2 linked regions of the Drosophila melanogaster genome follow. The protein of the gene in region 2 purifies or fractionates together with the protein of the main gene of each other region. This does not show direct contact. Each region holds a gene or a part of one and is shown on either strand. Other genes may lie near its edges.

The links. Proteins that work in one complex are often made in the same cells at the same time.
Region 1: the proteins of Dip-C (region 2) and CG8839 purify together in Drosophila melanogaster (affinity purification with mass spectrometry, with the first as the bait; one large-scale study listed by BioGRID). This does not show direct contact.

What each region holds. Positions count from the first base shown.
Region 1 is NT_033778.4:12,340,079-12,347,528, forward strand, and holds the start of CG8839 (uncharacterized protein), read right to left. Parts: upstream 4,540-7,450; 5' UTR 4,382-4,539; intron 2,019-4,381; exon of another isoform or gene 1,906-2,018; intron 1,853-1,905; exon of another isoform or gene 1,767-1,852; intron 1,705-1,766; 5' UTR 1,593-1,704; coding exon 1,410-1,592; intron 1,352-1,409; coding exon 1,132-1,351; intron 1,063-1,131; coding exon 488-1,062; intron 427-487; coding exon 1-426. Other genes in the region: ana3 (anastral spindle 3), read left to right, coding at 5,008-7,450.
Region 2 is NT_033777.3:12,410,255-12,417,704, reverse strand, and holds Dip-C (dipeptidase C), read left to right. Parts: upstream 1-3,945; 5' UTR 3,946-4,321; coding exon 4,322-5,797; 3' UTR 5,798-5,896; downstream 5,897-7,450. Other genes in the region: pps (protein partner of snf), read right to left, coding at 1-257, 313-487, 576-1,057, 1,117-2,834, 2,949-3,353, 3,419-3,548; CG5196 (uncharacterized protein), read right to left, coding at 6,236-6,670, 6,725-7,245, 7,349-7,430.

The DNA of each region.
Region 1 (7,450 bases), on a different chromosome or scaffold from region 2:
GTAGGCAAAGTTAATGGGTCGCGTAATGGGCTCATTGTGGTATGGAGCCACCGTGGGATGCGTGGGATAGATCAGCACACCATTATCGCCCAGCAGGCTTTGCAACTCCTCCCTCAGCTCATTTCGTTTGCGCACCAGATGATCGTACTTGGGAGATCCGTGCTTGCACTGTGCACTATCCATGATAGCTGTCGACAGGCCAATGAATGTGTGCTTGGAAGCGCCGAAGAACCACTTGAAGAGCTCCAGGTACGTGTTGATGTCATGATTCAGGTTGCCTAGCTGGTAGGCGAATCCATGGCCACTGTCGTCGCGCATGTTGGCAAACCAAATGGCCGCCGACTGCCGGAAGTGGGGCAGCTGGATGCGCTCCACTTTCTGATTGCCGAACTTCTCTCTCAAGTGCTGTGCCACGCGGTTCATGGCCTGCAGCAAGAAAGATTTCAGATTAGAGGATTTAATTAAGAAAGAAGGTCATTTATCTTACCTCTCTTAAGTCTGGATCAACGGCGGAAACCAAGCGGCCGCCGCCATCGGACTCTTGGTAGAAGAACTTCATTTTGGTTAGGTCCACATCCTCGTCCAGATTAAGCAGGGCCGCCTTCTCGCCAGCCATAATCTTTAGCATGGGTCGCAGGTCCTCGGCAAATCGTGACATAGGTCCCAGGCCGAGGAAGGAGTTCTGCTCGGCACTGAAGGGCGCTGGGAACTGACCGACATTGGAGACGACCAACTTGCTGGGCTTGTGGCCAAAGATGCCATTGAAAAAGGCTGGCATGCGAATGGAGCCGCCAATGTCGGAGCCCAAGCCAAAGGCGGAGGCAGCCGCCGACTGTATGCAGCCCTCGCCACCGCTGGAGCCACCGACAATGCGGTTAGTGTCGTAGGCATTCCTTGTCCTGCCGTGCACCGTATTGTTGCTCTCCCACCACATGCACACCTCGGAAACATTTGTGAGGGCTATGGGAATGGCTCCCGCCTTGCGCATCAAGGCCATAGCGTCCGCATCCCGCGCAGCACGCACATCCCGACGTTCGAAGAGTCCAGCTGTGTGCAGCATGCCTAAAGCCAAACACATGATTGAGCTATAGCAATGGTAATCCAATTAAGAAACTTATGGGAGCTACGCACCCTTGACGGATATGCAATCCTTGGTGGTAATGGGCACGCCCAGGAAGGGCTTCTCCTTCTCCAACTCCTCCGTGCTGTATTGTCCAGACTTGATCAGGGCATCTGCTTCGGCTGCCTCCTTGAGAGCTTGATCGTAACGTTCATCCACGACACAGTTGAGAATGGGATTCACCTCTTTGATGCGCCGGATAAATGATTCCAAGACCTGGACGCTGCTCAGCTGCTCAAGATGAGTGAAAGTTAGGTGTTTTGTAGATGAAACGATTGCACACACTCACCTCCTGTTTGCGGATTTTCCGTGCCAACGATGTGGCGGACTCCAAGAGAATGGCATCTGTGATCGGTGGAACACTCTCACCCTTTTGGCCATAGATCAGCCGGAAAACAAAGCGAATGCAGGCCTGGAGAATGCCGAAAATGTAACCACCAATGGCCTGGGTCAGTGGCACGCTCTTCGCCATTTTGTGGAATTCTAAGGAATGTGCGCCTGAAGAAGCTCAGCTACTAGGACTCAGAATTGGAACTGCGGGTGTTGGTGGCTGTGTACTTTGCCCTGGCCCATGTGTTATTGCTCTGGAATGTTGAAACGATAACAAAAATGAAATAAATGCATTGAAAATTCATGTTAAATATACTTAAATGAAGGAAGGCACTCATGAATGTGGTTTATTTGCAATTTAAACTGGTTTATCAGGCAACTTTTATAAGACCTTATATAGCAAAAGTAAAAAATAAACAACAAATCAGTAGAAATATAAAATTGGGTCAAAATACCTCGTTCTGGATTTATGATTGGTAATTCAGTCATTTAAGTCGGCAATTCATTTTATGGATATAATGGGTTTTACGCAATATATGAACGTTTCATATCGAAACGGAAAATTTCTATTTATGTGTCTTGAATTATTTCGTGTTTTCATGCCACAAAGTCTCATGATTTCGAATAGTATTTAGCATTACTTATCTACAATAATAAATGAAATTGGTGACAATTTTAATAAAAATAAATATAGTACTCATAGTTGTAGTTCTTTTCACACATCTCAGGTTTAATGACTCGGCAATTAATTGAGCCGTCCCATTCCCAGATAGGCCAAGTCCACACCTGTGTGTGACTCATGGATAGATGGATTCATAAAGGCACATAGGAAATATGGAATCTATATTCGAAATGTAGAACTTTTCTCCAAAGTGCATACATAGAGTAGGAAACCGCGATCATTATATTGGTCCCAAAACAAATAAAGTAACTGAAAATTGCACTAAAATTCAGCAAATAATGACAATATACGTATTGTATTGGGAAAAACGTGTATTTCCGGATAACGAAGAAAAGCCAAAGGAAGCCTATGCATAATACTTCGCTGTTCTGGAAAAGGTTGTTTAAACAAATGACTTTACTGTTCAACTCGTAAACATTTCACTGTTTACAAAAACGAACAATGGAAACTTGTATGGAATTGGATATATGTATACACACATAGATATATGGTTAATATATAGAGCTGGAATCGGGGCAGTATAATGTTTAAGGGAGCCATATGCCCGGCCAGAATCAGGATTTACCTCATTATCTTATCAGGAGTGCGCATCAGACAGCTAATTCGCTGCTTAAACACGAGAAGATAATGGCACAAAGGGAAGCAGACCACGGAGAGTGGTGAATAGCCGAAAAGCCGATCCCCGTCAGCTCACTAAACAGCCAGGTCGTTAACCATATCCACATCAGTACTCCAAATGGTATTACAGAAAAAAAAAAACCAACTGATAAGCGGAGTGAGTCACAGGTCGAAGCTGTTTGTTTATGCCATTCGTTTGCCATAAAAAATAGAGCAACAATTGAAATAGTCGGTTTTGAGCAATCCGAAAAGTGCTTCGTGAATGATTAGTGGAACTCAAAGTTCCCACTTCCTATCGCAATGTGCTTATCTACATATTAATAATAAGAATAATATGTTGTTACGATTTGATTATTCTATTAAGAATGCCTTTCAACATATCGCAGTCTGCTAATTGAACTGCCAGACATTCGAATTTTGAATGCAGTGAGTGCATTATAATCAAGTTCGCACTTTCAAATTGCGGTTGGGGTGAATATTCACGGGGGGGGTGGTGACAATTTGTCTGCCCGTGATTTTGAATAACAAACGAATAAAATGGGTAAAATTGCCAAGAGCATGCTATATGAAGTTCAAAGCACTCTGTATAATGAATGGCAATTATTTTAAATTGGTTTGTAAGCCAGAAATGTTCAGTAGAGCCGGGTTTTTCGTATTTTAAAGTTACAAATAGAAATTCACACTTTAATAGCTCAAAGTCTCATGAGGCCGGTTCCTAGAACTCACTCATAATATTTAATGGAATATCTTTTATAAGCCATTCAAAGTTTGATACTAATGGGTTGCAGTGACACAAATCAAATGGCAAACATTTTCCTGGTGCAATATAAATCTTTTTTGCTTCAGTCGGTCGAAGTTCAATGGGTGGAGATGCGGGACGATAATGGTCCAATAATCGGGCACTTAAGTGGCCAATCCGATAAGATTAGCCATAAATAATAATGAACTTGTTGCTTAGCTCCCCTTTTTGGCTCAGTGTCCAAAATATTCAATTGTAAATTACTCGAGCGACATCCAATCGGAATGTCAATCGCAGTTGCATGCCATTTCTAATTAGAAAAGAGTAGACGGGCCATTGATTTCCAACTGGATGGTGAGATATACATATGTACATATATGTACGCAAAAGGTGGAAAAGCGAAGGTTGCGACCGGCGAAATGGTTTCTGGGGTGTGGTAGGGGCGGCATCGGGGCGAGGGAGTTACCCGGGCGTGCGCCAGTGACATCATTTCGCTATTTCCATTTTCATTTCCAGCATATGCTTTGTTTGCACTACGAATTCATCAAGTGTCATTTGGCACTATGTGCGTACACTGTGCACATGTATGTGTGAGTAAAGTTTGTTTGCCTCAAAAATAAAGCAAACAAAAACATAAACTTAAAACAACACAATCCAACCGATGACGTCACGAGGGAGCCTTTTTATTGTTCAAAATGGAACAATGAATGGGTCACAAGGATAAGAATGATCAGAAATAGCACTTTGTTGAAGTTTAAATTGCAAATAACCGGTTGGCGAACAATGATTAGCGGTTACAAAGCGTTTGGCTGTATTCACAATCGCACAGCTACACTTTAGAGCGGCACGTAAACAAAACGATATGAAACCCAAGATAAGCATTTATACACACACACACACAGAGAGAAAAGTCTAGTTCTCCACCGCAGCGGCAAACAAACTCTATTATTTACCCGCTAAGCACAAACTCAAGTCCAATCAGATGGGCGACTTTTTTTTAAACCTACAGCGCTAGCGTGACCGTGCTTGCCATGCTGGGAAATAACAAACTCGGTTGCGACCAAATTATCGATAGACAAATATGGCAATTTAATACGCGTAGTTTAGTTTTGGTGAAATAAGGCAAATATCAGAGGCATAATTTATAAGATTATTAAGTAAAACCATATAAATAATATAAAAATAAAACAATTAGATGAATAAAAGTTCTTCAACAAAAAAGGGATTAGGTTCAAGTAATTGTTTATTATGTGTGAAAAGCACCTAATTCTTAGGGAGCAATAAAAGATTGATGCGGAATATTGTTCGTTGTTGCTGATGCGAGGTGTCAGGTGGAGAAATACTATTTTAATAGGTTTAGTATTTTTAGACCCTTATGCAGGGAACGCACACTCAAGCAGAGTGGCAACGCCAGCCAAAATTCGAGTTTGACGCTTTCAAAAATGACATCCTAAAACGTTTGCTGCCTGGAAGAGAAGTGAAAACGAACTAAAAGTCGGGTATTATTAGTCTAAGGAAATGAGTACCAAACAGAGCCCGGCCCTCCAGCTGGCGGAGGGGCAGCTAACCAAGCTGACTAGCGAATCGGAAGAGATCCGTATGCGCGCGCTCGACCAGATTGAGACGAGATTCATCAGGTGCCTGCAACTGGGCGAGCCGATACAGTTCAAGCCGGTCCTGCTGCTGAAGCAGCTCATCCGCTGGTTCGGGTACACACCGCCGCTGGTGCCCGACCGTGTGCTGGCCATGATTATGGAACTCCTTCGATCCGAGTACGCCGAGGCGGTGATTCGCAAGATTCCTTACGAACGCTTCAAGGCCGAGCTGCAGAAGGTTCGCCGTGTGCTACACAAGCAGGAGTCCAAGCGGGTCAGCGAATTGCTGGATGATATGAATTTGCTGCTTCTCGAGAAGTACAACATAGACCGGGTGACGCCGAGCGTCTCCAGCCTTAGTTCAAATGACATTCCCAGTCAGGCAACTGAATCCGCAGACAGCAGTTCGAATCAGATTTACGACAATCTGAAACCGGAAGATTACGAGCCCTCCTGGTCGCATCCGTGCTTGGACGATGTGGCCACCATGAAGAGCATGATTGATTTGCCACGAAATAGCGTTGAGTTGCAGTTGCAGCTCACCGAACTGATCATCCGTATGGGCGACTACCCAACTGAGTACTTTCTGCAGCCACCGTTCGTATTCTTGCATCTGGTTCAGTTGCAAACGATGACTGACGGTAGCCTGATACATGTGAACCGGGCACTAATTGCCTGCCTGCGGCTGCTGCAGCAGCGCATCTTGTTGCGCCGAAACACTCTGAGCTACGCGGACAGGTTCGATCCTCCGTCACGCCCCAAGCAAGTGAAGGTGGTGAGCGCCTTGGTAATTCTGCTGGAAAATTGCATGAAGCTGATTCGTCCGTTGCTGTTCAGCTGCACAAACGACAACTGGCACATAATGGAGCTGATCGTGGAAATAGTGCGGACCCACGATGTTCTCAGCTCAAAAATTCCCTTAGTGAGCATTACGCTCATCGCGGACGCGGTCAAAAGTCTGCTGGCGTATTGTAACAGTGTAGAAGGCAGTTGCATGACCCAGCTGATGGACTCGCTCAGGATTCCCCGCCTGCAATCGCTGATCCTTAACGGCGTGCTGCACGATATGGTGGCCTTAAATATAAACTATGACAAACGCATGGACCGACGCCAAGCCAAAGCACTCATCCAACCTATAGTTTTGGACAGCGCTTACCTGTCTGGCATGCCCGAGCGCATGAAGTCGCTAAACACTCTAATATCGTCTTTGGATTCTGGACCATCACCGGACGAGGAGTTGATCAAGCTGAAGCGGGCCTACAGCGTGGCCCTAAATCAATTACATCCGAATACGGAACTGACTGGGTCGCTGCTAATCCAGAAGTACAGACAAGTGTGCCTTGTGCTCGTCCAACTGGGCAGTGAGACATTGGTAAAGCAGCTCTTCGGAGCTGTTGTAAAATGCATTCCATTCTACGCGGGCAATTTAAAGCTAAGAAAGGATGCGGATGAGCTGCTTTACACCCTTGTTGATTTGCCTGCTCTCAAACTTCGTTCACTTATATATCGTTTAATGATCAAATCCACCGTGGCCCACTTTCATTCCTTTATGAACAAGACAGTCTATATGACCGGCTGCAGCAATGTGGATCTGATTCGTCAGCATATCTTAGGCGTGCCGCTAACTCCCCTGCTGTTACGCAGAATGATAATTCAGAGTTCGGAAGCAAATACTTCGGAACGTATGCAGCAGTGGTGCCTCGACTATCCTATAATGATTATGAAGCTAAACGCTATTCTAGCTCCGCAGGATTTCAGCGTTGTTTTCCCGTTGCTACTCCCCGTGCTGCCTCTGCTGATCAGCAGGTCGGTTACACACAAGATATTGCACAACGTCATATGGAACGTTTTAGAGCCGGACTCCAGCCGTTTGGATCCGCAATTGATGCTGCGCGGGTACGTTTACTTCATGTTCCATCCGGATGGCGAGGTTAGGAGCGAGGCCACCACTACAATTGCTTACGTGCTGCAATGTCAGGAGCAAACGAATAGATATTTGCCCACCGCAAGCAACGTACCGGTTGAGCACATCGCCAACGATCTCTGCATAATTCAACCACCATTCTGTTATAGAAGCATTTTCATCAAATGCTCTGATGAGCGGTTTCAAGGTCAGCGCAGCTTGGACGCCCTGTTCCGATTACTCCAGGCCAAGGACATAAAGTCGAATATCCGAAAGTCAACAATGACTCAATTAAATGTCTTGCTACGAAACTGGAGAGCTTGTGAGGAATTCTCCACAAAGGAGGATGGATATCGACTGATTATGGAGTCTCTGCACAACGCTCTGAAAAAGGGGAACGACACTGATATTCTGCTGCCCACTGTGAGTATCCTGATGAAGCTTCTGTTCAATGACGATGAGT
Region 2 (7,450 bases):
AGTCTGATAAAGTTCAGCTGCTGCTGCTGCTGGTGAGAGATTGCACCGGTTGGGAACTTTTTGGCCGGCTTTGCCATTGGAATACGCATGGGGGAACTGGCTACAGTTAAGACCACCGGTAGTGTTCTTCTGGGAGCCGAAGGAGCCGCGACCTGAACAATTTCTGCTGTCGTAGTTAGTACTTTGGTTTCACTCGGCCTCTGCTCAGGTTGAGTGGTTGGTCTGGTGACCAACATGTCTGTTATTCGTGGTTGGCTCTACAAAGATAACGAATCAATAAAAGGTAACTTTATGTCTATTGTATGACTTTACCCTCTCCTCCTGCCTTTTAACGCATTTGGGGCACTTCCAGTCGATGCCCTTGTTTTCCATATCTGTGCCCATCGCCTTGGTCACCCCCACGCATGTGCCGTGGAACCAATCCTCGCACAAATCGCAGCAGATCATGAAACGATTGTTGTGTGGCTGACGACAAATGCACCAGAGCCTAAACCAAAAAAAAAAAAAAAAAAACAAAAAAGGTTTTCAACAAACGCACAGATTTGCATCTATGAAATATCCAACTATAATCTTACTTGTTGGGGTCATCGTCATCCTCCTGAGACTCTGAAGCGTCGGGATCATTGTTCTGACTTGCATCAAGCTTCTTTGATCTTCTGGGTGCCGTTGAACGTCTGGCCATCGATGGCTCTCTAGGATTGGGTCGTTTCGGCCCACTTCCCGGCTGGCTGTCATTGCTCAGGCTGCTGGTATTGAGCGGCTGATTGATGCTCGCATCCAACGAAGATTCACCAAACGACAGGTTGCCTGCATCACTGGAACTGGTCGCAGCCATGCCCGGAGCTGAAGGAAACTGTGCTCGTCGCTTGGCCCGCGTGGTGGGGGCTTCAATGGGAGGCAGGTATATGACCCGACCGTAGCCGCGCACAACCTTCGCGGAGGTGGGCGGAGTGCTTGCTGCCACGCTCCTCGAGGGTGTACTGCAGGCAATCGGCAATGAGGTCATCGATTGTGCGGGCTCCGTAAGACTTGCATTCGGCAGTAGGTTCGTGTGTGCCTGTAAAGGAGCAATGCAGTTAGCTAGCAAAATCAATAACCAGGATATTCTACACTTGCCTGTACTTGCGGCACGTCTACGGGCTCAATGGACGTAGGCATAGATACGATGGCGTCCAGGGTTCCGGGCTCTGTACTAGCCAATACTTGCTTAACCACCTCGGCCTCAAACTGTTTGTCCTCCTCGATGAGACCGACCACGTGCTGGAGAAAATCAGCTGTAATCTCATCCTCATTCGCCGTATCCATTATATTATTCGGATCGGCTGCAGCTGCATTTCCCACTCCCTGCATCTCGGGAGCTGGAAAAATATTCGTAGGCAAGGACACTGGTGGCGGATCTAGATCCGCCGCTGTACTCTCCAGCATCTTAACCAGTTTCGGTATATCCTCGTCCGCATTTACTACCGGCTGCTCCACAAGCGTGGACTTAAGTAGCTCGTCCTGCACAATCGAGTTGATCAGATCGAGCTGCTTGTCATTTTCTGCTGCCAGCTCGGAGGAACTCTGGTGCGTCTCGATTACTATTTGGGCGGGCAGTTTATGCGACTGAGCTGTGTCCACGCCGATGGGCATGAAGCCCTTGGATGGGGTATGTGCCTGAGCAGGAACCGGAACCACAATTGGCGACATCTGCTGATTGTAGCTCGATCTCGGCGTGCTTGGCGACATGACGGCCCGGTGTCGGAGTGGAACTGGCGAAGATTTTGTGGCTGCATTGTTGTCCTCACCCAGCAAAGTGTTGAGATTGGTAAACACTCCTTTGGGACTGGCCATATTCTTGTTGATAATAATCTCTTTAACTTCCTGCGGCGAGTTTACGATCCTTCCCAATTGCACGGCAGGCATACGACGAACATTGGAATTGGCCGGTGTCGTTGGCAGTGGAGGTCTCTTCACAGGCAGCGATTGATGTGTGGGCCGGATTTTGAGAAACGATGTGCTTGGAAGACCTCTGCCTAGGGCAAACACTGCGGGCACTGATTTTGTGGCAGGCATCTGGATTATTTGCCCAATTTGCGGCGCCTTCGGCTCCAAAACTTCCTTGCGTTTCTTCAGCTCGGGGAAGTGCTGCGGCGTTGTGGGTGGCGGAGGCAGCGGCTTCATTGGTTTGCTGGGAGTCTGCCTAACCACCTTTCTAACCCGCTTCCTCTTATTCGGATTACGTCTATTGCTATGCCTCATATCGAAGTCCATGTCACTGTCCCTGTCGTTGTCCGATTCCTGGAACTCATCGCTCTCCTCACTCATTTCCTCCGAATCATAGGCCTTGTCGGCATTTTCCTCTTCGGCGGAATCCGAGCTTTGGGCGTCATCATCATCTTCGATGTATTCCTGCACAGGCGGAGCAATCACTTTGACTGGAGCACGAGTGGGCCTCAGCCTGGCATTGACCGAATTGTTCGCGATAATCTCTGGCTTCTGTCTTGGCAGTGGCGAATGGATGGGCTTGCGGATCAGCTGCACTTTCGGTTGCAGCTGCGCTGCCTGCTGAACTTGGTGGGGCTTGACTGGCAGTCTCTGGACCTTGACCTGCACCGGGCTTAAGGGTATGGCCTGGACTCGTTTTTTGGCATTGATTAGCTTGACACTGCCCGGTGCCTGCATTATGATTTTGCGGCTTTGGGCCTGCATTTCCATGGCCATCTTCTCATCGCGCTTGTGGTTCTTCAGCTGCTCTGGCGAGGTAAACGGTGTGTAGTTGTGGTCATTTCGAATAACTTCCATAAGAGCGTCTGTCTCCGCAGTCCTTTTGTAGACGGAAACTCCGGCAAGCTCTGTAAATAGAATACAAATTAGTTGAAAGCTAAAGTTCGTTTACTTTCGTTGTGCTCGAAATAATGATGTTGTTTTGCTTTATCATTTGGACCACATCGATGTACGTTATTTACTCAGTGCATTTTTCACAACCATATCAGCCGTGTTGTCCGCATAAAACTGCTCCACTCGCAAACCCACAATTTGTGGACGCTCCTTGGGTTTGCGTCGCTTTCGCTTTTTGATGGCCTTGGGCTTTCGGCCAACTCGCTTGCGTGTGCGCGGGGCATCGGCTTCCGTCTCCGTGGAGTCGCTATTGTTGTCGTCACCGGTGTTATGGTTCTCCTCGTCGTGTTCATCCATCTCACTGGCATTATCGCCACCACTTTGGCTGCCATTGTCACTGTCCAGCTCCGAGTCGGTGGCAGTTTCCATAAAGTTCGCCAGCTCCTCCAGCCGTTCGTCTTCCTCTTGGTCCACCATGCTCGGCGTGGGCGATGTAATCCGCACCACGCTAATGGTGGAAATCGATTTTTCCTCTGCAACAAGCCCATGTCAGTGTGGGGAGCAATGAGCGTGTGTCAGGCCTATTGGACCCACTTACCCATGATGTTCCCAATCGCACGCTCGTCGAAGGAGATTCCGCTCTTGCTGTAGACCACAACCAGATTGGAGTCGGCTTCGGCTGCCGCCGGCCGGGCGCTGGGCGCCTCCGTAAACACCGAACTGGACATGACGCCAACTGCTCGTGATCCCCGCTAGCGGCGCATTGGAGTCGGCGGCCCACACAGCGTGTACTTAATTAGCTTGGAACAGAACAACGACTCATTTGTTGTTGCATCCGCCGCGTTGTGACGCCGACATTGAAATTGGATAGTAGGTGGAAAACGGTCACTGGGCTGCGTTCGCCCTATACTTAATACTGGTGATGCTCTGCTGGCTGCGCCCACAAGCTGGCTGTTATATTGTTGAGATTCGAGAGCTTAATCCGTTGCTGTTTCGCTTTAAAATGCAAATTTTTCTCAATTATGAAAATAAAATTTGCAAAAAAAGCCACTTCCAGTGTGACCAGACTTGGGAATGATGCCGATGCTGTAGGTTATCGATAGTTTCTGTGCCTCGCTCTGCGGAACTAGTTTCAATTGCTAGCTCATTTGAACAAAATGTTAATCTGTGTTTATTTAGGGAAATCCTTTATTTTCAAGGTCGGCTGCCAAAAAGGAAAACCGTATGATAAATAAATGAATTGAGCTAATTAAAAATATTAAAGAATATATTTAAAAAAATAAAATTCCCGATCGATGAATTGTAATTTAAGCTTGTTTTTTTTCGCGTTCAGTTCTCGGTCATACTTTTGCGAAAACAGAAAACAAAAAACACTGATAAAACCCACATAATTTACTGCCTTTGTTAGCCCGGTTATTGGCTATTATCAGCTAATCTCACTTGCTCGAGCACTCATTGTTGTCCAGAGCGCCAGTTAAACTTTGTCCTCCGTCGCAACACCATGGCCGCCTTTCAGATGGGATCGGGTTACGCAGTGCCCATGACCCTCTTCCGGAACAACAGGGATCGTGCTGGCAAGGCCATCCTTAAGGAGCTGCTGCCGGGCCTCAAGTTCAACGACGGCAACCTGCTGGTGCTCCTCGAGGGCGGCAAGGACCAGAGCCTGTACAACACCGACGTGGACTACGTTTTCCGGCAGGAGTCCTATTTCCAGTACTTGTTCGGTGTCAAGGAGCCGGGCTGCTACGGCATCCTAACCATTGATGTGAAAACTGGTGCACAGAAAAGTGTTCTCTTTGTTCCTCGCTTTCCCGATGAGTACGGCACCTGGATGGGCGAACTGCTTGGGCTGCAGGAGTTCAAGGCCATGTACGAGGTGGACGAGGTGTTTTATGTTGACGAAATGAGTGTTTATCTGGAGGGGGCGTCGCCCAAGCTGATACTCACATTGAGTGGCACCAACAGCGATAGCGGGCTCACCCTTCAGCCGCCCGACTTTGCTGGCAAGGAGAAGTATGTGACTGACTGCAATCTGCTGTATCCAATTCTCTCTGAGTGCCGAGTGATCAAGTCACCCGAAGAGATCGAGGTGCTGCGCTACGTGGCCAAGGTATCCTCGGACGCGCACATCAAGGTGATGCGGTTTATGCGTCCCGGTAGAATGGAATTTGAGGGCGAATCCCTGTTCCTGCACCACGCCTACTCCGTGGGCGGCTGCCGGCATGCCTCCTACACCTGCATATGCGGCAGCGGAACGAACTCGTCGATCTTGCACTATGGACACGCGGGCGCACCCAACAGCAAGCCCGTCCAGGATGGTGATCTCTGCCTGTTCGATATGGGAGCCAACTATTGTGGCTATGCGGCCGACATAACCTGCACATTCCCGGCCAATGGAAAGTTCACCGACGACCAGAAGTTCATCTACAATGCCGTGCTGGATGCCCGCAATGCGGTCACAGAGTCAGCCCGTGACGGAGTCTCCTGGGTGGACATGCACAAGCTGGCGGGCAGGGTGTTGCTGCAGCGCCTGAAGGAGGGCGGCATGCTCAAGGGCGATGTGGAGGAGATGCTCGAGGCAGGTGTTTCGGGCGTGTTCCAGCCACATGGCCTGGGCCACTTGATCGGTCTGGATGTGCACGACGTGGGCGGCTATCTGCCCAAGGAGCCCAAGCGCCCCAGTGAACCGTGGCTGAGCAAGCTGCGCTTTGCCCGCATCCTTAAGGCCGGCATGTATGTCACAATCGAACCCGGCTGCTACTTCATCAACTGGCTGATGGACCGCGCTCTGGCCGATCCGAACATTGCTAAATTCATTAACGCAGAGATGTTCAATCGCTTCCGGAATTTCGGAGGTGTGCGCATCGAGGACGATGTGCTCATCACGAAGACTGGCGTGGAGAACTTTGCGATTGTGCCGCGAACGGTGGAGGACATCGAGGCAACCATGACCTGTAAATATGATTCGCCGGTTTAGAGCTTTTAAACTATATTCCACGCGTAAACATATGTAATATAATCTGTATCATAATCAAATTATGGAATACCCAATAAATAAATAAGGTCTCATCAGTTGACATCTAAAGGTTTGTCAAGTTTCTATGGGAAACTTTAAAACAATACTTTAATTATACATATTTATATATATTTTACTTTGTCGCCATGAGATTTACGCTGCATTTACTATCTGAAAAAGATAAGCGTTATCTGCTGATACACAACTGGATTAATTTCGATTCACATCAGCAACTGATACCAAACTTTCGCGTTATTTATTGGTCGACATTGTTAACAGAGTAAACGGGATGACGGCCTGGCTAAGCGTTAAACAGTCGAGTCTCCAAGCGGAATCTAATTCTATATACAAGCCGAATGTGGCACAGAATGCCATCGATTGATCTCTGCCCGATCCGGGCTACATGTACTTTTTGGCATGTCCGTTTCGCTGCTGCTGCTTCAAGTGGCTGTGGGCGTTGCCATTCTGGGCCGCAGGTGCTGGTGTCTCGCTGTTGCCATCGCCGCTGCCTTCATGGACCGCCTCAATGACCTCAACGGCGCTGCGTCGTGGGAACCAGCCACGAATGGGACCCTTGCGTTGGCGCTTCTTGACGCCAGCTAGCTCTTGCTCGGAAAGCACTCGCTCGCCGAACAGCCAGTGGTTGCGGAAGCGAGTGACCTTAATCATGTCGTTGGGTCGCAGGCTGATGCGTGGCTCATCGGAGCAGGGAGCGGCCACACAAACACGCCAACCCTGCGAAAAGATCGGCAGCCAACGGCCAGTCACTGGCCTTGTGCATTTGAAGGTGCGGGTTCGAGCTCGTTTCTCCTCCTTCTGCGCCAGTTGCTCGCGCTGCAGGAAATACATGTTAATCTGCGCTCTCTAAATACAATCTGCAATACTCACCGTCAATGTATACTGATCACAACCCTCCACCACTGGCCACTCGATGCCATCGCCTCGCTTTTGGCACTCGTCATTGAATACCAGTCGCAAATTTGCCCGCCAGCCCAAATCATAGGGATATAGGAACTCGTCGTCGCAGTCGGCATTCCTATATCGGCGGTAAATGGCCTTCTCCACTATCCAGATCTCTATGCCCGTCTGGTTGTTTACAATCGTCTTCAGCTGAATGAACAGCAGCATGCTCAGGCCAATGACGACACCGATGGCCAGGCCCATGCCCAGAATGCACATGATGATGCTGAGCAGAGTGAACTGCACGCTAGCCAAGTGCGCCAATCCGTGGGTGAGATAGTAGTAGCGGTAGATTCCCCGCCAGAAGGAGCAGCACAGCACCACGGTGCCCTGCAGGCTGCCCAGGATGGAGAAGAGCAGGAAGTATGTGAAGTACGCGTGGTTGGCCCAGCCAACGCAGTGATTGATCCATGGGCAGTGATGGTCCATCTTCTTGACGCAGCGATCACCTAAGTGGTCAGATATATAAATCATTATGGTGTTCGATTTAAACAATTTTCATTTGCTTAAGTTCTTTTAAATTCCTGTGCAAATCATCTTAATATCACTTACACTTGCGACAATGATGGGAGCGTGGTGCCTTGTAGCCCTCGCACTTTTTGCAGTACTGCAGGAACTGGGCGTCCTTGGGATCCTGACAAAAATTAAAATTCA